Linked DNA regions of Coturnix japonica. The protein of the gene in region 3 interacts with the protein of the main gene of each other region in a pairwise test. Links are inferred from orthologs where the notes say so. Each region holds a gene or a part of one and is shown on either strand. Other genes may lie near its edges. The genes, in order: ARFGAP1, cytochrome c, SNCA, BCL2L1, CSNK1D, USP8 and ARFGAP3.

Region 1 (4,199 bases), on a different chromosome or scaffold from region 3:
CCATTGGAGAAGTGAGCTGTGGCAGCTGACATTGCTGCCCTGCAATCTGAGTCCCTGGCATGATTGCAGCCACATTTCCAGCTGCAATTTCATGAGGCAGCATGACCAAGAAGTAATTCAATGCAGCTGCTAAAGTCTATGGGTATTGACACCGAGTGATCGCCTGAGGCTGCCATGCAACAGTTGCATTTCTCAAATGATAGGACACAAGAAGATCCAGAAGGGCGAGAGCAGCTTTCCTTTGACTCCAGCTATGAAATGTCACTGCAGAAACACAAAAGATGTCTCAGTGACATACTGGTGGTGCAAGCACATACACCAACAAGCATTCCCAGCTCCATGTGCTCCCAGCTGCATTTCCACATCCAGTGGCAATACCCACTGCTGTCCCTGCCTTATCTTCTGTTATGTTACCCTATAATTTGTTCCTCGCTGCATTTCGTCTGTGGGTGACTCTGGGCATAACAACCACAGCAATGACAGCAGTGCAAAAAGCATTTGCAATTTCATGACAGAGCCAGTTTGTAACTAGAGAAAGGGATGAGTTGGGAATACAGTGAAGGACGCCTTTGTAAATGTGATTAGTATGGTGTCATATATTATCTTACAATAGGTATTTTGCAGAGATGGGATGAGAGCTATGCAGCCAGCCCAAATTGGAATGGCGTGCACTTATATGCTTACTAAGGGAGGCAGATGCATGTGGCTTCCCTTCATTCCTGCTGAAAACCAGACTTTGCACCTTCCATCTCAGCACACAACAGGTTAATGCTGACTGCTGGCTGGGGGCAGCTTGCAGTGTGAACACAGCAGCACTGCTTGGTTGGTAGCAGTATTTTTGGGTCCAGGAAGACCAAAGTGTGCGTTTGGGACACGAAGCAAACAGCTGCCATCAGGAACTCAGCGCAGCATCACTATAGATGGAAAACGTTACCCAACACTGCTCCCCTGAGGCTGTGAGTGCAAGTACCGAACGTGGGATGTGAGCACACAGCCACTGCTTCTATCGACAGCAAAACTGAGATGAATATTCTCATTAGATCTCATCATACAGTGTGTGTGATGGGAACCTCATTGACCACCGGTCCGTGTTTACCTGAAAACAACAGCTCTTATCAAATAGAGCCCACTTTGTCCTTAACTTGGAAGAGCAAATGATCAAAGCAGGATTTTCTTTACGTTTCACTTCTCCCCCTTTTGGACGCACTCGCTGATGGTCCCGTTATCATCTCATTGATGCAGGGGCTGCTCTGCGTGTAGCTGCTAATGGAAATAGCTCTTGTTAATCTCTTATGTACCGATAGTAACGAATAGAAAGCATCACACCTCTCACACCGCCACGTCTCAGCTCCGCCCCAAGCTCCGCCCCGCCCGGCACACAACGGGTTAACCCGGCTCCCACAATCCATCCCTGTTTTGCAACGTCGCCGTTCGCGGCTGCGCTGTGCGTTCGTTCCATTCCGGGCCCCGTTTAGTCCTTCTGTTCTATCTATCTCTCTCTTTTTGCTTTTCTTATTTTAGAGGTGTCTGACCATGTTCTGAAGCGGCTTCTCCCGGACTCGCCTCGGATCCGCACGGCGCAGCTCTCGGTGGAGGAACAGCCCGACCCGCTGTGCTCGGTGAGCAGCCCCTATAGGGTGTAATAACACTATGACAGCTGTTCTGTTAGTCGGGGCAGCTCCATATGGCTTCATGGTGATTCAGGTTGGGCGTTAGGGGATGTTTAGGAGCGGTGATGCTGGTGTGTGTGTGTTGGGGGGGGTTACTGTCCATAGAGATGTCCAACATGGTGATGTAGCACTCAGGGATGTAGCTGTGTGTGTGTGTGTGTGTTGGGGGGGGTTCCCATCCATAGAGATGCCCAACATGGAGATGTGGCACTCAATGATGTAGTAGTATGTGTGTATGTGTGTGTTGGGGGGGGGTTCCCATCCATAGAGATGCCCAACATAGAGATGTGGCACTCAGGGATGTAGTTGTGTGTGTATGTGTGTGTTGGGGGGGTTCTCGTCCATAGAGATGCCCAACATGGAGATGTGGCACTCAATGATGTAGTAGTATGTGTGTATGTGTGTGTTGGGGGGGGTTATTGTCCATAGAGATGTCCAACATGGTGATGTAGCACTCAGGGATGTAGCTGTGTGTGTGTGTTGGGGGGGGTTCCCATCCATAGAGATGCCCAACATGGAGATGTGGCACTCAATGATGTAGTTGTGTGTGTATGTGTGTGTTGGGGGGGGTTTCCATCCATAGAGATGCCCAACATGAAGATGTGGCACTCAGGGATGTGGTTACTGGGTGTGGTGTTGGGTTGTGGATCTGAGAGCTCTCATCCAATCTCAGCCATGCCATATAGAGTCCTGTCACAGCTCACACCAGTTTACATAGTGCTGCTTTTAGCATGCTAGAAGTTCCTACTATGGAAACTCAGGTCGTGTACTGTCTGATTACTGCTCTCAAAGCAAACCTTGATGGGTTTGAAACTTGTGCAGTCTGTGACCAATTGAGTGGTGCAGGCATTGGCTTGGTCCATAAAACATACCTGGTTCATACACCCTCTCCTTTATTGTACCTTATTTCTTTCTGAGCCCTGTTGTCTCACCTGTTGGTGTGTGTAATTGCATTTACGCTGTTCTATTCACAGGTAGTCACTTCAGTATGACTCAGATCTTGTTATTCTTCTTTTGTAGAATCATGGCAAGTCCAAGAACGAGGAAAGTTCTCAAGGAAGTCAGAGCCCAAGATGAGAACAATGTGAGAAAACTGTAACTTACTGTAGTTTCCCAGAGCTGAATTGTCTTTCTGTTTGCTCCACATCTAGTTGCTGTCCATACAAACTAACCTGTGTCTGTGCTTGTATATCTAAGTAATGGTAGCAGAGAAATATGGATGTATTGTGTTTGCATTAGCCCTAGTAACATTGATTCGTAGATGTATTGTAACACATGGCTGTGTGTTTGGCACAAGGCTTTCAGGGGCTCTGAGTGCTGTAAGCCCTGGAGTCCAAGCAAGTGATGTCTTGGGTATAATTAAACTGTCTATTTCAAATAGCTTGATAGAATGCTGCCTTAAATGTGATAGCCCTCAGACAGCTTCATTTTGTTTATGTCTTTCCCTACTGGTGTTTGGTATGTGGTGATTTTATAATACAGCTCAGGTAATTGAGGGCTTTCCATTCAGCATAAATAAACATTTAAGGGAAGCTTATGCTCCTGGGGTGGTGGTTCCAGCACAAAGAACTTTCCCTGCTGAACTTAATTCCTGCACACGACAGTTTCATGACCAAATATTGTACTTTGGGAACTTCCGTGTGGGTGAGAGCTGGTTACGAGTTAGAAATGATTGTTTTCTCTCTTGCAGGTCTGTTTTGAATGCGGTGCGTTTAACCCCCAGTGGGTGAGTGTGACCTATGGAATCTGGATCTGTCTGGAGTGCTCAGGAAAGCACCGAGGCCTGGGAGTCCACCTCAGGTCAGCCCTGCACTTGGGTTTCCTTTGGGGGTTTTATGGCTGTGAACAGAAAGGATTATTATGGAGGGGTGCAGAATATCTTCAGTTTCAGCATTTCTTGGGCACTTCTGCTTTGTGCTCCTTTCCAAAGTGAGCTTTATTCTCTCTGCCTTCACTGGAATTAGCTGGGATCTGCATTGGTGCAGCTGTGTCGTGCCCAGGTCTAGAAAGCAGCATCTCCAGCTGGAGGTTACGACCTTACATTTAATAATAGCACTCTGTTTTTTTGTATATAACTTAATGAACAGTAGCAAGAATTTATGGCCCAGGGTAGAGCTGACGTGTTTATTGCAGTCATGAATGCTCTGGGATGAGGTCATGGTAGGTGTTAGCATAGGCTGCATTAAGCAGTTGAGTTGTCATACCTGGTGGTCATTGTGAGCAGAAGCATGAAGCAGGGGCAGGAGGTGCCTTGCAGGGCACTCACATGTAATATTGAAAGTAGATGGGAAAGCAAAGCTGCCAAGTGAAGTTTTCTTTTACATAGCATGGTAGGTTTCCTGGCTCATTGGAGAAAGCTGCTTTTTCTATCACTTTCCTTCTCTTGACAGTGTCTTTCAAGTGCCAGTACTTTATTTTTGCTTATTTCAGTGAGGATTTGACCGCCTTCTTAAGACACTCTTTCTTTCCATGCTTTGAGAGTGTTTATTAACATTTCTGTACCCCCAAACTTTTTTTTTTTGTCCCTGC
Region 2 (4,175 bases), on a different chromosome or scaffold from region 3:
TTACATCCCCTTCCACAAACAAATCGAAAACCTAACAAAGAAACCAACAAAGAAGTACCACCCGGGTACTTGCATTCATACTAACCTCAATAAGTGACAACTTTACATGCTTCCATTTCAATATTCTGCCTACCCAGCCTAGCTTTGCTGCTTCTAGTTCAAAATACTTCCTAACTCTGCCACACTTCCAAGTACCTTTCACACAATCTCTATTAGCACTTACTTTTTTCACGCTGAGTTTTTGCTCATCCTGTAGTGACATAAAGCCCATATGACCCCACCATTTCGGTTTCAGACACATACAGCCAACAGGACTTTGAATTCTTTTAATGTACAAGATTGATCACTCTAAGTTGTGCCTTACTGTTGATACACAGTAAATACATTCATCTGAACAGTTTGCTTAGCATGAAAAAAACACTAAACAATTAAAACACTAAAATATTACTCAACACTGTTAATGACACACGCTATAGCCAGGCACAGAAGAAGACTGTTTCCCATTAGTCTACCAGTGCATTCATTGCTGTGCGTCTCCATCAGCAGCTGTGTGTAACAGTAGGTTTTAGGTGAATGCTACTGCTGAAATAAGATTTATCAGCTCTCATCTTGGCTTTTAGTAGTTACCTTTCCAGAAGAAGTGTTTCTTCTTTCATTCATTATACTACAAACGTTTGCCCTCCGGAGATGTACTGAACAGAGAGTTTCAATAACATTCAAGAAGACTTAAAGATGATGCTGGAGAATTCTAGTCTACTGGTGCATGCAACTGTGAAAGTCGAGATAAATCAAGTAACATGTTTCTCCTAGATCAAAGGATCTGGGCACAAGTGTCATTGAACAAACAGCACTTGAGAGATGCATTCTTACCCCAAGCTTTAGATAGATTAATACGCACCACAACACCTAAAACTGATCAAGTTTAGAAAAATATTGTTAAGTCTTTCTTTACTTTTAAATCTTTAGTGTAACACAGCAGAAGACTTATAGTGAAAGATGCCAAGACCCACTCTGCTTTTTCATTCTGAAGAGTAGGGTTGTCAAAGCTATTAACACTTTTGACACTTGTTTGATACATTTTTTGTGTGTTAAACAATAAAGAGGCAGGATATATTTTTTTTTTGTTTTTAATTTCATGATTAAGAACAACTGAACATTATACTCATTGAAATCAACCCAGTTACATAGTTTTCATAAGTTAACGGCTGCCAAGTGTGTTCTTCAGTGACCCACCATGAGCAACATCATCTGATGGGTAAAACTGATTTTAAGGTTAGACATGGTATATGTAAAAATAGAAAGTTTAAAAACCAATCTTGTCACAGACATTTCCATTGCCAACTCCTACGTGAAATAAATAAGGCAGCAGATAACTTTTACTTTTTAGTGGCATCTTTGAGATACGCTATTAAATCTACTCTCTCAGACTTCTTCTTGATACCCGCAAAAATCATCTTTGTTCCTGGGATGTACTTCTTTGGGTTTTCCAAATACTCCATCAGGGTGTCCTCACCCCAAGTGATACCTGGCAAGAAGAAATAGACAAGCAGTGACTTCAAAATGAAATGAATATATATATTTTTTTCCTGCTCACTCATATTACAGAATCACAGAATTATCAAGATTGGAAAAGACCTAGAAGATCATCTAGTCCAACCATTACCAATACTTCCTGGCTAAATCATATTCCTCAGTGCCACATCCAAGCGTTTCTTGAATACTCCCATGGCTGGTAACTCCACCACCTCCCTGGGCAGTGCATTCCAGTGCCTGACTACCCTTTCCGAGAAGTAATACTTCCTAATGTCCAGCCTGAATATTATTTTTGCTTTCTGCAGGTTTCAGTACTTCTGACTATCCCCAAGAACCACCAGTAGCTCAGGAGGAGCTGCTTTACATTTACCTTTGTTCTTATTGGCATCTGTGTAAGAGAAACCCTCAGCTTGCCCTGTTTTGCGTCCAAACAGGCCGTGAAGGTTGGGTCCAGTCTTGTGTTTGCCTCCTTTTTCAACCGTATGGCACTGGGAACATTTCTGGACAAAAATCTTCTTGCCCTTCTCAATATCTCCCATCGTCGGTACTAGACCAAGAACACATACAGAGGTCAGTATCACAATATCAAGGTCAGCTATTCAACAGAAGCTTTAAAAAGGTTCACAGCGATGGGCTGTAGCTACAGTTTTGTAAACCAATCTGTGAACTCTGAGTGCCTTCTAGCCACGAGTTATAGCTCTAGGGTTTGAAGATTTGCATAGAACCATTACACTATTAAGGTGCCACGCTTTATGCCTGAAGAACAAGAAACACGCCTCATCTAATTCCCGCAGAGCAGGCCCCGCCGTGACCTTCCGCTGCCAGCTGAGGGATCCTCAAGGCCGCAGTGTGAGCAGGGTCAGAGCCGCACTGCCCCGTCCCTTATCGCCCCAATCCCGCCTAACGGCCGGGCCAAGTAGTGGCTCCAGACCCAGACAGCGCCGCTTGGAAATCAGGCCCTGATCACCCGCACACCCCGCCCGCCTGTACCTGCCCAGCCGGCCGCTCCGCTCACACCGCACCCACACAGCTGACTGCAGCTCCGACCGCCCCGCGCCGTCCGGCTGCTGTGCCCAAGGACACGCCGGACTCCGCCCTATGTAACCCGGTGTCGCTGCAACCAAACGGCGCCGGTACTCCACCCGCCCTCTGTGGCTCAGTAGCCAATCAAATGCAGCCTGCTGGAATTTTGATTGGTTGTAACATCTGTCCGTCAATGCTTACGTCACGACGTCGGTGACTAGCAGGGTAGGTTGCAAAGGCGGGCGCCGGGCTCCCTGTCCTACTACTTCCGGCGGAAGTCGTGTGGCGGAACTGCGCTACGTAAAGGGGAACGCGGGAGGGTCTGCGGCGCATGCGCACAACGGAAGGGGAGGTGAGGGTCACGCTCTGTCCTCAGCGGGGGGCGGGGTCTGGGCTGTGTCCGTGACGTCATCGGGGTATTCAGTGTCTCCCCGCTGTGAGGTGTTAACGTTAAACACCGCTACCAGAAGTAAAGTTACCACAATAAAACTGCTCTGCTTATGACGTGTGGGGACATTCACGGATCTCCAGGGCAGCTGAATGAAGAGATCACCTGGACTTGTGCCAGTGCTGAACTCCAGTCTGAAACCAGAGTCCCAGATATTATATATATTATATATGGAAGGATATTTTCAGTGCACTGTGACTTTTCTAGATGTAATAACTTTAATGTAATAACATTAATTGGGACGTTGACCTGGATGTGGTTTGCTTGGAACAGCTGTGTTTTAAGCTTTCAGTTATTCGCAGTGGTTGTACCTCAAACAACTTCATCTTTTTATTACTTCAGACCATTTCAGACTGGAATGATGATGATTTTGCAGTCAGGCTTATTGCAGTGTAATTTCGTTCTGAAAGAAGGGAAAATAGAACAAATATATATCAAAGTATTAGAGGAAATATAACAAAACATCCAGCCAGTTCTCTTCAGAGTTACACAGCAGATGAAAGAGCAAAGATCGCCATCTTGGGACTAGGCTGGAACTCAGGAGATCATGGTTTACTTCTCAGTTTTGTGATACATATCTTCTCCTTTTTTTTTTGACAAATATACCTTTTTCAATTGAAAAATGTGTTATTAGACTGAATATCTGGACTGCACTCAATGTATATTTTGCCATTATTGAAAAGATTAAAGTGTGATTTAACCCTGGTAGACAGGCAAGCAACCCAGCTGCTCACTCACTCTCCACAGAGAGGTGGGGAAGAGAATCAGGAAGGCAAAAGTGAAAAATACTTATGGCTTGAGGCAAATACTGTTTAATAGGTCAAGCAAAAGCTGCATAAGCAAGCAAAGAAAAATAAGGAATTAATTCACTGTTTTCCACCGACAGGCAGATTTTCAGCCGTTTCTGTGAAAGCAGAACTTCATCACACATATTGGGTTCTTGGGAAGACCCAACGTAACTCTGAAAATACCCCTTTCCTCCTTTTCCCCCACATTGTTATTGCTGAATATGATGACACATGATATGGAATATCCCCTTGGTCTGTCAGGGTTAGCTGTGCTGGCTCTGCCCCCTCCTATCAACTTACACACCGCCAGCTTGCTTGCTTGCAGAAGTGTCCTTGATTCTGTCTACACAGAAACAGCTAAAACATTGGCACATTATCAACAC
Region 3 (4,195 bases):
CATCCATTACAGAATTGACTTGCTGCCAAATCATAAAAAAAGAACGAATCTACAGAAAAGAGTGTATTTTCCTTCCTATTCTACTACCATGCAACTGAAATTAACTTAAAAAAAATAAAATGGAATTCCTCCAGTTTAAATGACCTATTCATATGTTCTTGGCAGCTTTTTTCCTGTTCATTTTTCACTATGGCATTTATGAGACAGTACTTTAAGGCCTGGTAGTTTCTAAGTGAAGACGATGATTGTGTCGTCAACAGTCCAATGTGAGATTTGAAAAGAATCTTTCCCCGGGTTCCATGCAAAGTACTCGCATAGTCTGGGTAAGTCAACTAACATCTGCTTCCCACTTTCTCCACTGTCTCAGTGACCGTAAAGGTTCTTCTTTGAGTAGCCATGGAAAATAGCTGCTGAGGATATGCAATAGTAAGTATAGAACATTAGGTTAACTTTGAAAAACAAGGAGCTGACACCTCACCATTCAAAATGTTACTGCTGAGGACCTTTATTTAGTGAAGAAAGAAAACAAGCTCCTTTCTATGGGGTGTACAGTTATCTTCCTTCTACTCCAGGAAAAGACATTGGCACGTCTTAGATTCAGTTCCAGAACCAACATCTCAAGTTTTTTCTTTAAAAATCCTGCTTAAAACTCAGGCATTCTACAGGATTCTGTGAATTTACCTCCCATATAGCAAGCATCTTAAATAGGGCCAGTCAGTAACTTGCATTGTAAGGCCTCTTCCAACAGGCAAGTTTATCCTGTACAACATTACAAATGCAGCCCCATATGACCAGCACACACAGTGACAAGAACCAAAAAAAAATACATGACACACAACAAACAGCAATCAAACAAACAAGCAACAATCGTCAAAGACCCTATGCTCAGGAGAGTTCAAATCTCATCATGTTTACTTTGCAGTTAATCCTCTCCTATGAGTGATTACATATTTCAGAGAAGAGAGAGAATTCAGCTCTTTCTTTCAGATGAGCGGGGCTGTCAGGGTACACCAATCAGCAGCACAACCTCACTGCCCACCTACCCACATAGAGGACTCCCTCTTTCGTCTTTCCTGCTGCTTCTGCCACTCCCTGCTTGGTTTTTTCTGCTGCTGCTACAACCCCTTCCTTTGCCTTGTTAAGTCCCTTCATGAAGACATCCATGGCTGAAGGATTTCTTCACACAACACTAGAAAAAAAAAAAAACAATACCAAACACACTTTAAATAATGGTTCTCAGCTTTTTTTTTTTTTTTTTGCCAGAAAATTTTATTAAAACTGATTGCACATCAAAATACTTTTGAAATACATTATTTATACTCACATATTATATAACTTCCATCTACATCCGTATTAGCAATATACACATACCTCTCTGTATCTAGGATCGCTTTCAGTATTTCAGATAGACAAAAAACAGTTAAATAACTAGAAAACAAAGGAGCTCCATTACACAACTCACCTTTACATCTCACATGCTACCACAGAGCAAGTTCAAGTTAAGCAGTATGGCTAAGGTAGTCCCTGAAAGGCCCAGGAGTTCCCACAGAAACGTACAGAAAGGTCACTGATAACGCAGTTCTCATTTGAAGTTGCACTCACTGAAAGGAACAAATCCATTCCTTGCCTACCACCATCTCCTCCAAAGGACAGTTTCTTGTCTATTAACTACAAGATCTAATCCCATCATTCGCTGATGCTCCACCTTCTCATTCAAAGGAAAAACTTAAAAACTAACAACTTTACAAACGCTTCTTCTAAATGAGAAACGTTCGCTCATTGTTGTTTGAAGAACCACTAATGTTCCAGAAGGACTTGAGCAAACACAAAACTGCTTTCCAGCAACCCAGCATTTTGCATGCAGCCCATATTGCTCTGCCAGCACTTGAGCTTTCAAAAGGGATCCTGCACATGCATCAAGACTAAGGAGGAAAAAAAAAAAAAAGCAAAGGCAAGAACATGCTACACTAATAACACCACACTACAGCTAGCAAGTAGGTTCTGTGGCAGTTATACAGCCCTACGCTACAATTAGGCCACAAAGACAGTAATTAAAGCCAGCAAGACACCCCTTTCACAATCCCGTCGCCGACAGCCCCTTCCCTTTCTCCCCCTCCCCCTCCCAGAAGATGCACTGCCTGCTAGTTCTTTCCCTCCGCCGGAGGAAGGGATGTCTAGGAAGACAGTGGGGAGCTTGCTACTAACCCGTGGCAATCAGAAGGGCAGAATCCGTGCCCCACTGACACCGTAGGCAGCACCGAGAGCAGGTGTGGGAGCACCTGGGTGCAGAGCGAGGGAAGAAAGCAGTACATGGCTACGTGGCTCAGTCTAAATAAAAGAATGGGCACCTGTGGAGGAAGGAAGAAAGAACGCGCAGGGCTCTCCCACATGTATGTGTCTGTATCTATACGGACTATCCGAGGAGAAGGGCAGGGCTACGTGAGCACATAAGCACCCAGCGGCTCCCTCACACGGCAGCCGCGGCGCCCGCTGGTTTCCCCTCCCGTTCCCTTCCTCCTTCGTGCCCAAAGGAGAACACGTTGAGCGACAAATGCACCTGTCCGCACACCCACCCCTGCGGCTGCCCAGCCCCAGGGCGAGCAGAGCCTCTCATGCACTCCCCACCACCTACCGCTGGGTCCGCCGCTGCAGGAAGGCGGGGGGAGGCAGGGCAGGAGGAGGGCGAAGCGCAGAGAGACCTGATGGGAGCTGCCCCTTCTCAGCACATCGCCAACTCTCCCGACGGCAGCAAGGCAGGCAGCGAGTGTGAAGGAGAGGCAGGGTGCGGGGCGGGGGCGGTAGGAGGAGGGGCCGGGGGCGGTGGGGCGGCTCCCAGCCTCCATCCCCTTCTGGGTGGGAATGTGCTGCGGGTCGGGTATGCGTCGTGACGTGGGGGTGGGAGGTAAGGATAGGAAAGAAGAGGGGAGGCTGAGGTCCTGGTCATCTCGTGGCACCACCTGTCCGCTGTTCGCCCCGGCGGCTGAATCACAGCACTCAGAAGCAATGCGAGCAAGCTGTTGCTAGTGAATTCAGCACACCTGTTTCGCTTCACCCACGGCTCAGAAAACGCCCCCGAGCTCTTGGTTACTTATCTTCCTCTCGTAAGCCTTCAGGCCGGAGTGACTTGAGGTGAACGCTCTCAGGATTCACGCTCCCAGCTCATTTTTAAGGATGGCAGGTAATACTCTTGTAGGTAAAACAAGATCCTTAACCCCACAGCATAATATAATAAAATCTTTGTCTAAACAAGGATGAGAAGCCCAGCCTCACACCTGTTGGTCTCCATTGTACAGACCAGAGCCACTGCATTTCCCCTCTTGGTCTGTTACACTCAAGTCACTTTTCCCCAGAAAGGGAAGGCAATGTCACTTCTCTGCATTGCTGCAGAGCGTAGGCATGAAAAGCCAAATTCAGTGGAAAACAAGGTATTAGAACAGATGGACCTTCAGCATCAGTACATCAGTCAGCATGCTGTACAGATCCTGCAAAACCTTGCAAAAACAGTTTGTTCTGTCATTGCGCTCCAAAGGAGAAGCAGAGCTTGGTACAGATGAGACACAGGGATGTGAGCTGCACAAAGCACCTTCCATCCATCATACTGGGCAGACAGCAGACAGGTTCCTGCTTTTATTTCCATTCTGAGCACACAGTGCAGAGTTTTCTCTTTTTCAGGTTTCTTAATGTTTCTTTACCGCTTGGTAATCTTCCTTGGGATTCATTCCACTACTACATTTAACCAAGCAAACATTTGGTGAAATGTATTTTTTTGTGTGAGAAGGTGCTGACTGAGAACACAAACCATTCCTTCATAATTCTGCTCTCCAGAAAATCCTTAGCAAATGATCCAGCAATTGCACATCCTATTCATCATGAGCTACACTTTACTTGCAGTCAAGGTTGAAATTGCAGAAATAACACATTTTACATGAGCAACAATAACATCTCAAATTAATGACTTTGTCTGGCTAGATAGTCAGTGTTTGAGTGGAAAGCAGCTCTGTCCCCCTGGGACCTTAAGTAAATCCATACTCTGAAAAGCAACAGCTCAAGTGGTACGGAAGCCAACACAGCAGCAGTGCATTTCTACTCAGAGACAATAGATGAGTAGGTGATCAGAGACTTCAGATGAGGCCGTCCAAAGGATCCCTGGCAAAGTCAATGCTGATTGTTCTTTAGGATGTTTCCCACTACATAG
Region 4 (3,971 bases), on a different chromosome or scaffold from region 3:
AAATTCTTGCCCTGCAAGGTCTAGACCGAGCACAAGCACAATCACTGCAGGCAGCTTGATCTGGCCTTGAGCTAGGATGCAGGGAGCCATCCCTATGGGAGAGCAGTTCTTACCCAGCCGCCATTCTCCTGGATCCAGGGATCTAGATGGTCGGTCAAGTACGTGGTCATCCAAGACACAATGCGTCCCACCAGTACCCGCATCTCCTTGTCCACGCTCTCCACGCACAGAGCCCCTCCGAAGGAGAAGAAAGCCACAATGCGCCCCCAGTTCACACCATCGTGGAAGAGTTCATTGACTACCTGCTCGAAGCTCTGGTACGCCGTGCCAGGGGTGATGTGGAGCTGGGAGGTGAGGTCGCTGAAAGCCCTCCTGTACCTCAGCTCAAACTCATCCCCTGCTTCTCTCAGCGCCTGCCTCACGTCAGATGCTCCGACGATTTCATGAACTTCCATGCTGCTCCGGTGCACGGTGGCTCCATTCACTACGTGGCCGGCAGGCGGGTGCCACGATGGGCTCCCGTTGAGGACGCTGTCCATCTCTGCCTCTGCCGCAGTGTCAGTCCTGTTCTCATCCTCTTCCTCCAGCTCGCTCCAGCAGTGCCCCTTCTGCGAGAGCTTGTAGGAAACAAAGTCAATCACTAAGTCCCGGTTACTGCCGGACATTTTCACACCTGGAACGCCCTCAATGAGTCCATGGTCCAGTGCACGAGCAGATAAGCACACTTAGCAGCTCCCGGCTCCACGCTCCCTCACCACCGGCGAACACATCCGACCTTTGCACAGACACACAGAGAGGAAAAGAGAGGCAAGGAAACGGTTAACACGACAGCTTGCTGCGCCGTGCACATCAATAGCTTAACGTTACACTGAGCTCATCACCCAGCTTCGCTCGGAACCGCCGCCGCACACGGAACGGGGATCCCCCCTCGGGGTCACCCTCAGCCCTCCCGCAGCCCCGGGGCTCACCGGGCTCAGGCAGAGCCGGGGCTCGCCGGGCGGAGGCTGAGAGCTGCGGGTGCTGCGGGCGGCCCGGCCCCGCTCCGCTCCGTCAGTCCCGGAGAGACACGGAGGCGGAGGCAGCACCGCCCCCGCCCGGCCCCTCCCGTTAAAGGGCCCGGCCGCGCCCCCCGCCGGCATTGCCCAGCGGGACCGACGGTGTCCGAGCTGGGTTACGGGCTCCGCTTCCCGTTCCCATCCCCGGTGGCTCGGCCCGGCCCCGTGTCCCTCGGAACGGCCCCCAGCGTGGGGGAACGGGAGGGAGAAAGGCTCCAAGTGTCCTTTAAAAGCAGCAGGTAAGAGGTGCGGGGGTCTCCTTTGGAGGAGAAGGGAATGGCAGGGCTCAGTGCAGTATCACGGTATGAGGAGCAGGCCTGGAAATAAGGTAGGAACAGGAACAACCCCAGGAGAAGTCTTCTAAAGACTTCCAGCAACTACACGCAGATGAAACCACAGATGAAATAAAGGGTGTTTGTTTGTAATGTTATTTAAACTGAGGTCCCTGCAGTCGTTTGAATGCTGTTTCCTCTGCACAGCCCCTCCTCCCCACGAGGTATTACAGTCCCTGCATGCACCCCAGCAGCCTTCATGCAATGCATTCCCCCCACCCTGGGGGCTGCAAGGAAAGCACGGAGGGGCTGCTCCTCCCGAAGCCCCATAGCAGCGGGCAGGCAGGGCTGCACAAAGCACAGAGTCACTGTTCTATACTCACCCACACCCCAACCCTGAGAAAAAGGGCAGAGAAAAGCCTGGGAAATAGCAGCTCGGGCTGGGAAACAGCAGCTCGTTCCTTCTGGCTGAGGGTGTTGGATTAAAGTAATTTGACGCTGAGAGGAGGCAACTCCCCAGCCCTCCCACTGTGCTCTCATCCCACTCCACCCCTCCTACCCTCCCTCCTATTCAGTGCCAAGGCTCCGTGCCCTCCTGGTGCCCCCAGCCCTGCCAGCCCCTGGGAGGTCCCACTGTTGTGGAGCCTTTTCCTTCTCCAAAAGGCAGATAACGAAGCGTTCTGATGTATGAAGGAAGCAGGGGCCGCTCCTCTGCTGGCGGCGTTGAGCTCTGAGTAATTGGCGTTTCTTTGTAAGGTTTTCGTGCCAAAGCCTGGCGGTGAGTCAGAGTGTGGGGCAGGACTGGGGCACAGGTAAGGGCTGCAGGGCAATGCAATGCAATACAATGCAGTACAATACAATACAATGCAATGCAATACAATACAATGCAATGCAATGTAATGCAATGCAATGCAATGCAATACAATGCAATGCATGGAGCACTGAGCTGGGGGCAGCAGGATGCAGAGCCCGGGGTGCTGCACCCACAGGGCGGCTGAACAAAGAGCTCCCCCCCGGTACTATGGCAGGGTCTCGCCGTACAGCCCGGCTTCCTTAGTGCCGTCACTCCGGTCCCCTCGTACCGGTGTTGCTGTAGGCCGTACCCGCTCCCATGGCCCCTCTCGGCCGCCGTCCCCACTCACGGGGCCCGCACACGAGGGCCGCCATAGGGCACACAGCCCGCCCCTCGCCATCAGCCAATCACCGGCCGCCACAGCTCCGAGAGGGCGGAGCTAGAGAACGGCCTGCTTTGATTGGTGGAACCGCCCGTCACTCACGGCCTGCCCCGCTCCGCCCCTCACCTCAGCGGTCGGTGGATGGTCCGGGCTGTGACCGATCCCGCTCTATGGGCCCAACCGGTGACGACGCAGGGCTCGGCCGGGAGCCCAGCCGGCCGTCGGGCCTGTCAGCAGTGCCCGGTGTCCCGCCGCATCAGCACCGAGCGGACATTGCGCTGCTGGGCCGAGCCGGGGGGGGCGGGAGGGAGGGAGGGGGCAGCGCGCATGCGTGCGGCGCCGCCGGTCTGAGGTGCGGTGCGCATGCGCCTGCGTGCGTTGTGCGGCCGTGGCAGTGCGCATGCGCAGCGACAAGGAGGCCGGTTGGACTCGAGCGCCCCCTGGCGGCTGCCCCGCCCGCAGGTGCGTTGTGTTCCCGCAGCACTCGGGGCTGTGACTCGGAGCTGAGCTGCAGCCGGGGAAAGGCCGGTGTGGCCATAGGGCTGGATGAGGCGGCTGCTTGAATCCATGGCCATAGAGGGCGGTGTGAGGTTAGTGAGGGGCTGGGCGGGGGGATCCTTATGGCTGCTGTAATCGGGTGACTTGACCTGTTGGTAACAAGGAGCAGACTCGGCAGAGGGCAGACACGGGCGGAACCGGCCCTGCCTGGTAGACCCGCCTCCCTGCAGCTGATTGGCTGTTTCAGAGCCCCGCCTCCCCTGATTGGTCGAAGCCTTTCTCTCCCTGTGCATGATGGGAGTAGCAGTTTGTTTCTGGTGCTGAGGCTTCGGTTCCTTCCGTTCGAATCCTACATTTCCCATCATCCCCCGCGGGAGGGGCGGGAGCGCTCATCCGGGTTCTTTAACGTCTGGACAGCCCGTCCAATCAACACGCAACGAGGGCGTGAGCTGAGCGTTGATTGGTCCATTCGGACAAGACGAGTCCCGTTTGAAATCCTCTAACGGCGGCGGGCAGAAGCCCCGCGCTCGGCGGCTGCGGCGCTGAGGTGAGTGAGGAACGGGGGGGGACACCGGGAATCAACGGCAACCGGGGCTGCCCACAGCCGCACACAGCCCTTCCTGGTGTTGTCCCCGCTTCATGAGTGTGCCTCGGTACCGGCAGCACGGGCTGCTGTTCTGCTTTGGGCCCCTTTGTCCGCTTGTTGGGGGTAGGCCGCAGCCTGACGCTGTGAACGGCTCTGAGGGGGGAAGGGGAGAAAGCAGTGTCTGAAATGGGGGAGAAAAGGGATTTGATGCTTCGGTATTGAAGTAAAAGGGTCAGGATGAGGCCATTGGTGCCCCTTGGTGAGGCCATTGCTGTCACATTGGCTATGGTTATACTGCTCTTTGTGTTGCTTGAACGTCAGTTTATCTAATAATAAGCAGAGGTTACCTGCCTATAAATAACCCAGCCGGTTCCTTGGGCTGCTA
Region 5 (3,500 bases), on a different chromosome or scaffold from region 3:
GGACATGCGAGAGGTGTCTTGTCGGCCTGTTAAGTCAGACGATGAGACATTGACTGGGGCACCACGGTGCAACCTCATACTCACTTTTCTTTCTCGTTCCATACCAGACACCGGTCGAGGAGATGTGTTGGCTGTGAGAAAAATTGCATTAGAATTTTCAGAATGAGGCATGTAATAAAAATGCAGTCACTGGAAAAATTACGCTGTTGGCGCATGTAAATTCTACAAGATCAAACCAGAGAAATCAAGGCTTTCATCTTATATTCGCAGATAACTCTAAGTAGCAATTAGCAGGTAATGAGTGTGTGTAATTACCTTCAATCTACGGAAAATTAAAAGGGAAAAACAAAAAACAATCAGGCCAGGCTGGATGTGACTCTGGGCAGCCTGGTCTGGTAGTTGGCGACCCTGCACATCACAGGGGGGTTGAAACTGGATGACCATTGTGGCCCTTTTCAACCCAGGCCATTCTATGATTGCATGAAACAAAAAAGTCCAAATGCTGACTCACTCAAACACCACTCCCATATCCTTATTTTATTTTCAAATTCCAATGACCAGGAACAAACTGCATATTAAAGCAGACTGGGAGGTGCGTCAGCCCATATATTTGCTTACTTACCAGCATGTGAAGTTGGGGTAAGAGGAGTAGGAGGAGCTACATCTTGCGTTCCCCTCAGCCTGCCAGAAGCAGTGGAGGGCAATCCACGCACAGCTGGGTTTCGTGTATGTCTCAGCCTCTCCTCTCGTTCTCTCCTTTCACGTTCAGCATCTTCAGCCCCTCTGCTTGCACCCTACGGGTCAGGACTAGTGAACAACTTAAAGGATTATTGAGCTTACAACTATACATTTGAATAAATATTGACAACGAAGAACTGAAGTTTGAGGAACTTGTTTGATAGGTTACCAATACCTTGGTAAAATTTCTTGAGAACTATCATAGATTCAGTTCATACAATCACTGGGATAGTTCAAATCGCTAATAAACACACACATACTGTTATGGCAATTGGACACTTCCTAAACTGTTGTATGTGAGATGTGATAAAGATCAAGACAGGTAAAAATAAGAAGTCAGCTACCCAATGTGGCAACTGCCTCAAAGGAAGCAGCTTAGGAAGCCTACTACACTGACAATCCTGTAACTACAACTTCGTCATTAAATCCCAATCTAAAGCCTCCTTTATGTCCTGCTTTTCTCTACTTCCTCCCTCCCCTCATTTTTAGGGCAACAAACCTTCTGGGACAGAACACTCTTAAGGTATCAGTTAAGAACCCAAAACTGACAGTGTGATTAAAAAAAATAGCATTACAAAAAATTGTTTTAGAAAGCCACACCAGCTACTCACAAATTTCAGCATGTTCCAGTCAAACACATAGTCATAGGAGAAGCCTTGTCTGTGGAAGAGGTTTCTGAATAACTGCCTTAGGTAGGAATAGTCAGGTTTGTCATCAAAACGAAGAGAACGGCAGAAGTTCAAGTATGTGGCAAATTCAGCTGTAATAAAAGAAAGCCTGTTTTTCTCCTTCAGCTTCATATTTGGTTTTTATGGCTCAGAATCATTAAAAAAATAACAACCACGACACAGAACCTCCCAAACATACAAATACTGACATAGTACTAGAAATCTACTGAAAGCAACACTACATCCCCCCTGCCAAGTATGGTCTGAAAAGAAAATTGTCTATCACAGATTAGGCGAAGGCTCCATTTATCCATAGCAGGTAGGACTGTGTTAGGAGGAAGAAGAAAGTTTAAAACTACATTTCAGCAAAGGAAAGATTTACTTGTCCTTTCCTTGCTCTGAATGTACTTAAACTTAATGTACACAGAATAGAATCTCTTTGCTAAAATACCAGCTATGCAGTAAAAACAGAACATTATTGTGTATTCAGTGCTCCAGAGATACACCAGTGTCAATCTACCAGCTCTTGACTTTAAGGCTTTCCACCTAAAATGATGTATTAATAATTCACATTAAGTAAGGAATTTTAGGCAACTGTTCTTGTGTTGTTTGCCATCTTGTCTGTTCATCCCAGAGGAAAGAAATAGTTTATGAGTAAAGGAACATGCACGACAGGACTTTTGGAACACTCAAAAGCTTTCATACATCCCTCACCATAGCTACAATTCTCATCATACTTAGCTAACACAGCACAGGGCAAGGAAAGAAGAGAGAGAGATCACTTCCTGAAAGGTGAACAATATTCCCTGAGGGTAACTAATACATTAACAAGTTTTGAAACATAGTTATTACTCTGCATGAATCAGAAATTCTTTTTTATTACTAGGGTGTAAACACCAAGAAAAGAAACTGAGCTTTGAGGGATGATGCCAGGATCTGGAGGGATTCTTACACCCCTCACAGATAATGGCCACGGTCAGGCTGGACTGGATGAACTTGGAATGACAATTCCAGAACAACACAATTGCAATAGATGCAAATGACTGTACAATCTGGTTTATCCAGAAAGAATATCCACACATGAAGAGATGGGAAGCTTCTCAAAAAGTTATTTGGCTGTTAATAATCATCCTGCCAGAATTTATGCATGCACACACAAGACAGTGCAGATCACATACACACACTATGCTGTCTTTCAAACTCAAGAGCACCACAGTGATTGCTTACTAATAGTTATGACAGAGGCTAAGTAGAAACAGCCTACGAACAGACAGATCCTGGTCTTGAAAGCACGGTGTCATTATTATGAGCATGCCCAGTTGTAGGAAAAAAGTCAAGAAGACTGTAAACAGGCTCCAAACACATTGTGACAGAGGAGCTAGAAAGCATAAATAAAAAAGACATACCACTAAAAAATGAATACATGGGCCTAGTGACATAAAAGAGCAACTTACAAGGATATCCTTTACACAAAACCTCAATGGGTGTAGACATTTTCTTTTCACTGATACGTTCGTATTTCTGTCTCTTTGTTGCTGCTTTCAGTCCCTGCCAGGGGAGGGAGCCCAGGTTAAAATACATCAGTACATAGCCCAAGGACTCCAAGTCATCTCTGCGAGATTGCTCTACAACAGCATAAAAAAGTGGACTCATTAGGTTTCATTATCTAGTGGGAAAAAACAGAAGACTGAGCAATAATGTGTCAAAAACCCTTAAAATACAACAGACAGATGAAAATCACTACATCTGTGTCAAACTCACCCAGTATTAGAAAAAAAAAACAAACGATCACACTTGCAATTATTAAAGAAATGTGTCAATTCCTTAGAATTACAAACTGAACCCCACCCCAAGAGGCATAAGTCCAAGCACAATGTGTCATGAGTGCCAGCAATAGGGTCTGTCTTCTATGCCCCAAAAAGCATCATCAACTTGCACTGAAAACACATGTATCAGCACTTGTGAAGGTTCTATTCATTGCTTTTCCCAGCTCACCAATTCCAAGATGAGTGTTGATGGATGCATAACGGGCAGTTCCTGTTAGGTTTTTGTTTTCACGATATGGGATATGTTGGTGAGTTCGGGCATCCCGGT
Region 6 (3,500 bases), on a different chromosome or scaffold from region 3:
ATACGATCTATTTTTGTTAATTTAGAAGAATTAAACAGCAACAGACTCAGATCTGTTCACATTTCAGGTTGGTGCAAATTAAGTGGGAGCACTGAAAACTGAAGGGTCACCTGGAGCCAACTGGGCCACCTCCTGCTGCTTGTCCCGGACCACATCCCTGTCCAACAAGGGACAACCACAACCACCCTGGGAAGCATCATAACAAAGCCAAAGGGAAATGTTTTCAATGTTTGTCTCTAGTGTCACCTTACCTGCAGTGTGCATTTACTGGTGGATGCAAGTGGTAAAGACAAATACATGAAAGCCTCAAAGGTCCGGGACTTCTTGTGACACGTGAGACACTGCACTGTCGATTTGAACTGGCCTTGGAAAAGTGCCACAATAATGGATTCGTTGAGCTGTTTGTGCTTCTGCCAGGCCAGTTCTGCTGCTCTCAGGTCATCGAGATGATCGTTGTTTTCTTCCTTGTATCTTTTCCTGTTGTCAGCCTGTATAACAGATGTTGGAATACCTTAGCAGTATATTAACGTACTTTAAAAATAAGGAAGAACATTTAAATGACATTCAAATGTGTCAGGACAGCCTTCTTGCCTGAGCTCTCTTCCACTGTTCCCATCAATATCTTACGCTTTACAAAACTGAATTCTATAATCCCAAATACTTAATTTCCTTCTATACGACATTGCAATAACAGAAGCAGCAATATGTATCCGCTGCAAACTAATGCAGATTTTAAACTTCTGCTTTGGGATTGATCCTGTTTTCTTCCAAAAGTCACCTGCTACACAGCCATAACAGCAAGCCATGTTGGTAATGTAAGACTTGCCAGCCAGAGGGATGTCACAGAATTGGGACTTTGTCTCCAAAGAGCCGTTTCTGTGCCATTAAAGCTCCATGGGGAGCTTAACATGCATTTGTGCTGGCTCTTTCAACCATACCCAAAAGGCAACTCCATTTGTACAGGAGGATTTAAGCTGTGTGCTAGTGCTTCGTAAGGCATTTTATGTTTTATTTCTCATGCTCATTTAGCAGATGTACAACTTGTAATGTATTTGGCTTACTTTATTGAGGTCTTCGTGCAAACCGTCCATTAGAAAGAGAAGCAGCTCCTGGGAGTCTTGCTGGCTGTATCCTGCAAACTGGTCGTTAATCTTCCCAATTGTAATTTTGAAGTCTTTTGGACTGATATATTTATACTGTCCTGTCCACAAGGCTTTCATTATTACTCCAAACTCTTCAGCCACTTCACCTTTATGCCCCAAGAAATTGGACCTATACAATGAAACAGATCCAATAAAAACAAAAAAAGCTGTTAGTCTGAATTGAAATTTCTGCCTACATCTATGCTATAATTTGAATATTCAACATTGGTCCGATAGAAGGCATCGCTATTCCCACCTTGCTATGCCAGCTGCTGTGGAAGTGCATTACAGTCAACTAAACACAACCAACACTTATGTATGAATGCACTCAGCAGAATTTAGTTCAGGCTGCCCAAAAAAGCCTCTTCTGACCCACTACTGAATTCTGAGAAATCCCTGGAAAAAATCTGCAGCTCTACTCATCTGACTTTACAATTGTTAATTAACAAAACACTTGCAAATAAAACAAAACAACTGCAAATAAAAGGATGAGTATGAGAGATCGTTACCTGTTAATATCATCTTGATACAAGTTTCTGTTAAAATACTCAGCTAGATGAGGTGCGTTGCACAGACACTGTAATATGGAGTTCATGTAGCAAGTGTTCCCTAGATTACGAAGTCCTGTAAGAGCTGGTCCCGATCCCCCAAACACGGGATTAAGGTTCCTAATCTGTGATGCAGAGAGTCTTGAGATTTCTGTTTTAGGGTAATAGATTGGTCTGAAAAGAAGGATTCATTTATTTTTTAGCAGTCTGAGAGTTGATAAAACCACGCGCACAACCCACCAGAAGCAAATTCCCTCACAGGCGGCGAAACATCTGAGCACAACAAGTCACCCCAATGACATCATTCAGTTTACTGAAGACCAGTTAATGAAACAGCGACAAATCCAGATACATTGGCCTACAGCCAGGTTGAGGTATGGACTAAAACAGTACTTATTTATTTATTTTAGTTAATTATGTAATTAACAGCTAATTCTTCCCATTTAAACATTAAGAATGCTGTGTTTCACAGACTGAAAATGCCAGGAGACTGGTATTTCATACATTAACACAAATACCTAACGAGCAACTGTCATCCCACAACAAGCTATAATTGCCTAAATTGGGATATAAGTTATCAAACATACTTATTTTCACGATTGACCGCAGGAGTTACAGGAATTCTTTTCTTCTCCTCCTCGTGAATGGCTTGCGTTATATCTGGGGATGAGTACGAGCGCTTCAATTTGGAGGGTTCTCGTTCCCGCTCGGCAGCCACCTGCGGTTTGGGTTTGTGGGTTGGCGGGGTGGCTGGAGGGGTGGATGAAGGAGCCATTTCTGGTGGGTACATCTGAACGGTGTTCGTTGGTGAGTGATAGTAACGAAAGGTTCCAGTGATTGGATCCAGAAACTTTGGGGAGGAAAAAAAAGGAGTTTTAAAACGAGGTCAAGATCTATTACAAACCCTACCCATTTCTGAAGTACTGTAGGAATAATACATGAGTTTCTTAAACGCTGAAGCCTTAACAGTAGTTACTGTCCAATGTGCATCTAAACAGCAACTCCTCAATACTACAATCAGCAGATGAGCTTCCCTGATTTCATTACAGGAAATCCAGAAAAAAAGTCAGAAAATAAATCAAAGAGACAACAATACAGATGTGACTTTAAAATGTGGCGCCGAAAGGCGCTAGGATATTGCACAAGCTCGATTATGACATCAGAATAGAAAGTTACCTTGGCCCATCCTTCAGGCAGTCCTGGTATTATCCTCCCCATTTCTTCACTTCGCGCTCTGATCAATGGCTCCCGCTGAGACTAATAAAGACAACAGAAATGTAAGGCACGTACAGTTACCTGCACAGAGCAGTGGGCTGCCTGTGACTTCTCTACATAGCTGCACGATCGAATGCAAAGCAGTTCAATGAGAATTCCTTCGTGACAGCTGAAAACGCAACTCATGGTAGGACATGAAAATGGTAACATGGTACCACTATTTCATACCACTCAAGGTAGACAAAAGCCCTATGCTGACATGCTCCAGGAAAAAGACAATTCAGCTTTGCAGTAGCCTGACCACTCCACTCCTCCCATAGTTAAGCCACTCTGTTAGAAATACGTGCTTTTGTTAAACACACAGCAAAGATCTCCCTTCCCAACTAGTACGAAACAGTACACGTGAGATGAGAAATGAGTGTGGAACAATTGTTAATGCCATGAGGAGCACATGGAAATTTCTAGTGAAAGTCTCACAATTTTTTTGCAGATGAATGTGGCAAAATAAAAGAAACCCAAACAGCTATGAGCATAGCATGGTCTCTTCTTACAATAATGACTTTGAAAATTAAAGTGAGGTAGAATTTAACATGAA
Region 7 (3,500 bases), on a different chromosome or scaffold from region 3:
GGAAGGAATAAAGTACCTGCTTAGCCAATGTTTTAGGAACACTATACTGATTATAAACTGAAGTTTTCACTTAGTAAATTTAAACCAGGGCACTCTCACATCAAATGGCTCAGTCATGAGTCCAAGTGGAATTGCGTGCCTAAGAAAAATGGTTTTGCTCCACATTTAGTTATTATTTAGGTAATTCTGAATTATCATCACAGAAAGTCATTCATATTCAGGAATAACTCCAAGACCCACTGAAGGATGAGAAGATAAATGAGTTTAGCTCAACAACCTACTGTTTAAGATTTTCTTTCAGGGTCTTAATCCTTGCAACAGAACACACAGTTATCCTAATACATTTAGAAAGCAAAGTAGAATCAACCTATACCTTGGAAGAAGCATGGGATGCAAAAAAGTCCTCTTCCTTGTGCTGAGGTGATGCAGGTGGCATTCCGCATCCATCTGTCCACAGCTACAAGTGTTTAGAAAGAGGATCAAGGTGAAGGAGGAGATTATTAATTTTACAGGACAGTTGCATTAAGGTATTAAGGTATAAGCGCACTTATCTTAAAACTACCTTTTCTTTTTTTTAAATCAGGTTAAAAATTCAGTGATTTTCTTTTCCTAAGTACTTCATCCTTACAAATTTATTGGAGTATATGACATTCCTTGTCTTGATTCCATGTCTGTGGTATCTTCCTTCCCAGTAACCATTTCCTACCTAACAAAATACTCGGTATAAGCTCTGCTGCAGTGATATTATTAATATTTGATATCACTAGAACTTGATCCTAAAGTTTTTTCATATTCTCATATAAGAACAAAAAAACCAAACACTAAGAAAATACCATGGTTTGGTACTTCGATGAATTGTCCCACTTGGTCTAAGAGTTCCAAAACCTCTACTACACCTACAGAAAGCTTTTGCGAGATGCTAAGAGTTCTCAGGATAGGCCGCAGAGCCCTAAGTGCTTCAGGTCATTCTTGGAACCCTGCAAGACAATACCTGAACTTGTGATCTACATTCCAAGTTTAGAAGGTTCTTTCTAATACATGCAAAAGACATTGTACTGAAAATAAGGACCACTTCCAAAAAGGTTACGAAATATGCAACAAGATTACCTCATTACTGAATAACCAATTGAACCAGCAAATGAATTTCTTTTAATGTGACTGGTACAAACACTAATTACTGAATGACACACTTCAACAACACAGACAGCACATCATCACTTAAGCCTGTAGTATATTCAGAAATATATTTACTATTTTTTTTATGTAAGAAATAAACTATTAATACAGATTTCATCCAAAAATTCGGTAATCGAAGGTTAACACAGTTCTTTCAAGTGTCATTTGGGGAACTGGATGCCTATTTAAATGCAAATAGTATATTAAGCTTACTTGTTTTATATCTAAAGTAAAAGAATTCTCTGAAATCAGTGATGTGAATCATGTTAAATGTAATATCGTTACATAGGGTTATTATAACTCACTAAATTTCATGCTGCATTATGTACAGACTGAAAGAAAGAAAAAAAGCAAGAAAAGCATATTGTGCTTTTTTTCTAATTCCCACTCATCTGATCAACTTCAAATGAAGTCAAGTCATGGACTTGAACACACTGAATTAAACCATCAAAGCATTCATTCTGTGTACGCAAAACAGAATTGTGTCAAACTTACTTAACACCTCAGCAATCTCGTACACTGCACAGTTCACTAACGACTTCTTCCTGTAAGCAATGTAATTTCAAGGCTCTGACAGCATGACTGAACTGCATCAGCACTTCTAACAGAACAGCATGCTCAAAGCATGTCATTTGAGAATTTTTCAAGTACCATTTTCATACAAAATTTACCTATTCAAGCCAAAACCCTGCTAAAATCACAACTATTTTATAGATAGCTATTGGCGCTTCTATGTTTTTACAATTCTGTACTTCTAAGTAATAATTCAGCTCCAGAAAGGCAAAGCTAATCGTAATTCGTGGAGAAGAGCTGGCATATTTATTGCACAATAGCACAAATACAATTTTGCAGTACATCTGTGAAACAAAGTAATACCCATTTGGAAGAATACCTGAAGTTTCCACCTGCAATTCTTCTAAGTTACTGTAAATGATACAATTAACATTTTGAGTAATCCAGAAGTGATTCTGAATTATTGGGTTGAGCTCTACCCTCAATATCTGCTGCAAATAACCTACTCCACTTCTTGCCCTTTCATGACAATATGTAGCAGTACTTCCAAAACAATCATCTTCCACATTGCTAATTAGAAATTTAAGGTGGTGGTTAAGGAGTGGGAAGTGTTTCAGAAATCTAAATGAGGGCACACTTGACTTACATCAGTACCATGCTTTCTTGTTGCTTGTGTTGCAAGAGATTTAATCTTCTCCTTGTAAAGCTGAGCAGCTCGACTGTTATACTTTGCATTGGTGTCATTTGTTGTGCATCCATGTTGATGGAAGAAAGCAGACTATGAAGCAAAACATATAAAATGCAATAAGAAACAAATTTTGAAACAAATGCCACTTAACATCAATACACACCTTAATGCAGAAAAATGCTCTCCTCCTGTATCTAAATTTTCTAAACTATGAAGTCCATGTAAATCTCCAAAACAAGAAGAAAATTCCATTATGGCAACATATGGACACATAAAGCAACAAAAACAAACACATTAGTGGGACCTTCTACAAGTATATACAATTCAAATCATACAGAATTATTCCTATCTCTGAATCTAAGAACTGAAGAAAGGAAGAGGTAACTGACTGCCAACAGCTTTGCTTCAAAAGATGTTTCTGGTATTCTAAAAGACATTGCTTGGCTTCATTTCAAGCATGCTAGGGAGAACAATGTATGTTCAACTGACTTTTTACATGGGCAGATAGCAATAGGACAAGGTGGACTGGCTTTAAACAAAAGTGGAGATTGAGGTCAGATGTTAGAAGGAAATTCTTTACTCAGAGGGCAGTGAGGCCCTTGAACAGCTACCCAGAGAAGCTGTGGTGCCCCATCCCTGGAGGCATCCAAGCCCAGGTGGGGTGGGGCCCGGGGTAGCCTGAACTGGTTGAGGGTTGGCAGCCCTTCCTGCAGCAGGGGGCTGGAACTGGATAAGCATTTCTTCCAACCCAAGTCACTTGACAATACTATGATTCAATAGCATCAAAATGATTATACAGAAATGGTCTTCCTTTAAAAACAACAACAACTACACTTCCGTGTGTGCGTACATATAGATACGCACTCTCTTTTTACATGCTTATTTACATACACATACAAAATTTGTTTGTAAGATCAAAACATGGAAAAGCTAGGCATGTTTTTCAGTACCTAGAACTAACTAGCAAATTACATCATATGTTCTTGCATAAAAGAAAATATCAGACCATTACAGTAAAACATGGTAAACAAGTTTCTGATAGGGTCAGCAAATCCAGATAACTGAAGGTTAGAATGTCAAATGTAAAACCAGTGCGCAAATACTAGACTTTGTAAAAAAATAA

The links.
Region 1: the proteins of SNCA (region 3) and ARFGAP1 interact in binary tests that used the Homo sapiens proteins (3 or more experiments, as listed by UniProt). The link is inferred for Coturnix japonica from reciprocal best matches to the Homo sapiens genes SNCA and ARFGAP1.
Region 2: the proteins of SNCA (region 3) and cytochrome c interact in binary tests that used the Homo sapiens proteins (3 or more experiments, as listed by UniProt). The link is inferred for Coturnix japonica from reciprocal best matches to the Homo sapiens genes SNCA and CYCS.
Region 4: the proteins of SNCA (region 3) and BCL2L1 interact in binary tests that used the Homo sapiens proteins (3 or more experiments, as listed by UniProt). The link is inferred for Coturnix japonica from reciprocal best matches to the Homo sapiens genes SNCA and BCL2L1.
Region 5: the proteins of SNCA (region 3) and CSNK1D interact in binary tests that used the Homo sapiens proteins (3 or more experiments, as listed by UniProt). The link is inferred for Coturnix japonica from reciprocal best matches to the Homo sapiens genes SNCA and CSNK1D.
Region 6: the proteins of SNCA (region 3) and USP8 interact in a two-hybrid assay, tested with the Homo sapiens proteins (2 studies listed by BioGRID, with this or other methods). The link is inferred for Coturnix japonica from reciprocal best matches to the Homo sapiens genes SNCA and USP8.
Region 7: the proteins of SNCA (region 3) and ARFGAP3 interact in binary tests that used the Homo sapiens proteins (3 or more experiments, as listed by UniProt). The link is inferred for Coturnix japonica from reciprocal best matches to the Homo sapiens genes SNCA and ARFGAP3.

Annotation. Positions count from the first base shown.
Region 1 is NC_029535.1:7,875,794-7,879,992, forward strand, and holds the start of ARFGAP1 (ADP-ribosylation factor GTPase-activating protein 1), read left to right. Parts: upstream 1-1,399; 5' UTR 1,400-1,619; intron 1,620-2,690; 5' UTR 2,691-2,694; coding exon 2,695-2,754; intron 2,755-3,360; coding exon 3,361-3,470; intron 3,471-4,199. UniProt on the Homo sapiens protein: GTPase-activating protein (GAP) for the ADP ribosylation factor 1 (ARF1). Involved in membrane trafficking and /or vesicle transport.
Region 2 is NC_029517.1:29,070,673-29,074,847, forward strand, and holds cytochrome c, read right to left. Parts: upstream 2,801-4,175; 5' UTR 2,524-2,800; intron 2,081-2,523; 5' UTR 2,073-2,080; coding exon 1,904-2,072; intron 1,526-1,903; coding exon 1,377-1,525; 3' UTR 313-1,376; downstream 1-312. UniProt on the Homo sapiens protein: Electron carrier protein. The oxidized form of the cytochrome c heme group can accept an electron from the heme group of the cytochrome c1 subunit of cytochrome reductase.
Region 3 is NC_029519.1:31,290,067-31,294,261, forward strand, and holds the start of SNCA (alpha-synuclein), read right to left. Parts: upstream 2,801-4,195; 5' UTR 2,633-2,800; intron 2,370-2,632; exon of another isoform or gene 2,349-2,369; intron 1,190-2,348; 5' UTR 1,165-1,189; coding exon 1,044-1,164; intron 1-1,043. UniProt on the Homo sapiens protein: Neuronal protein that plays several roles in synaptic activity such as regulation of synaptic vesicle trafficking and subsequent neurotransmitter release.
Region 4 is NC_029535.1:9,011,652-9,015,622, reverse strand, and holds the start of BCL2L1 (bcl-2-like protein 1), read right to left. Parts: upstream 2,801-3,971; 5' UTR 2,629-2,800; intron 1,836-2,628; exon of another isoform or gene 1,711-1,835; intron 1,295-1,710; exon of another isoform or gene 1,165-1,294; intron 1,087-1,164; exon of another isoform or gene 969-1,086; intron 776-968; 5' UTR 666-775; coding exon 114-665; intron 1-113. UniProt on the Homo sapiens protein: Potent inhibitor of cell death. Inhibits activation of caspases. Appears to regulate cell death by blocking the voltage-dependent anion channel (VDAC) by binding to it and preventing the release of the caspase activator, CYC1, from the mitochondrial membrane.
Region 5 is NC_029533.1:4,236,074-4,239,573, reverse strand, and holds part of CSNK1D (casein kinase I), read right to left. Parts: coding exon 3,402-3,500; intron 3,032-3,401; coding exon 2,861-3,031; intron 1,499-2,860; coding exon 1,350-1,498; intron 795-1,349; coding exon 623-794; intron 132-622; coding exon 1-131. UniProt on the Homo sapiens protein: Essential serine/threonine-protein kinase that regulates diverse cellular growth and survival processes including Wnt signaling, DNA repair and circadian rhythms. It can phosphorylate a large number of proteins.
Region 6 is NC_029525.1:9,615,978-9,619,477, forward strand, and holds part of USP8 (ubiquitin carboxyl-terminal hydrolase 8), read right to left. Parts: intron 2,948-3,500; coding exon 2,867-2,947; intron 2,541-2,866; coding exon 2,278-2,540; intron 1,865-2,277; coding exon 1,652-1,864; intron 1,273-1,651; coding exon 1,062-1,272; intron 489-1,061; coding exon 252-488; intron 1-251. UniProt on the Homo sapiens protein: Hydrolase that can remove conjugated ubiquitin from proteins and therefore plays an important regulatory role at the level of protein turnover by preventing degradation. Converts both 'Lys-48' an 'Lys-63'-linked ubiquitin chains.
Region 7 is NC_029516.1:62,853,434-62,856,933, forward strand, and holds part of ARFGAP3 (ADP-ribosylation factor GTPase-activating protein 3), read right to left. Parts: intron 2,468-3,500; coding exon 2,336-2,467; intron 458-2,335; coding exon 374-457; intron 1-373.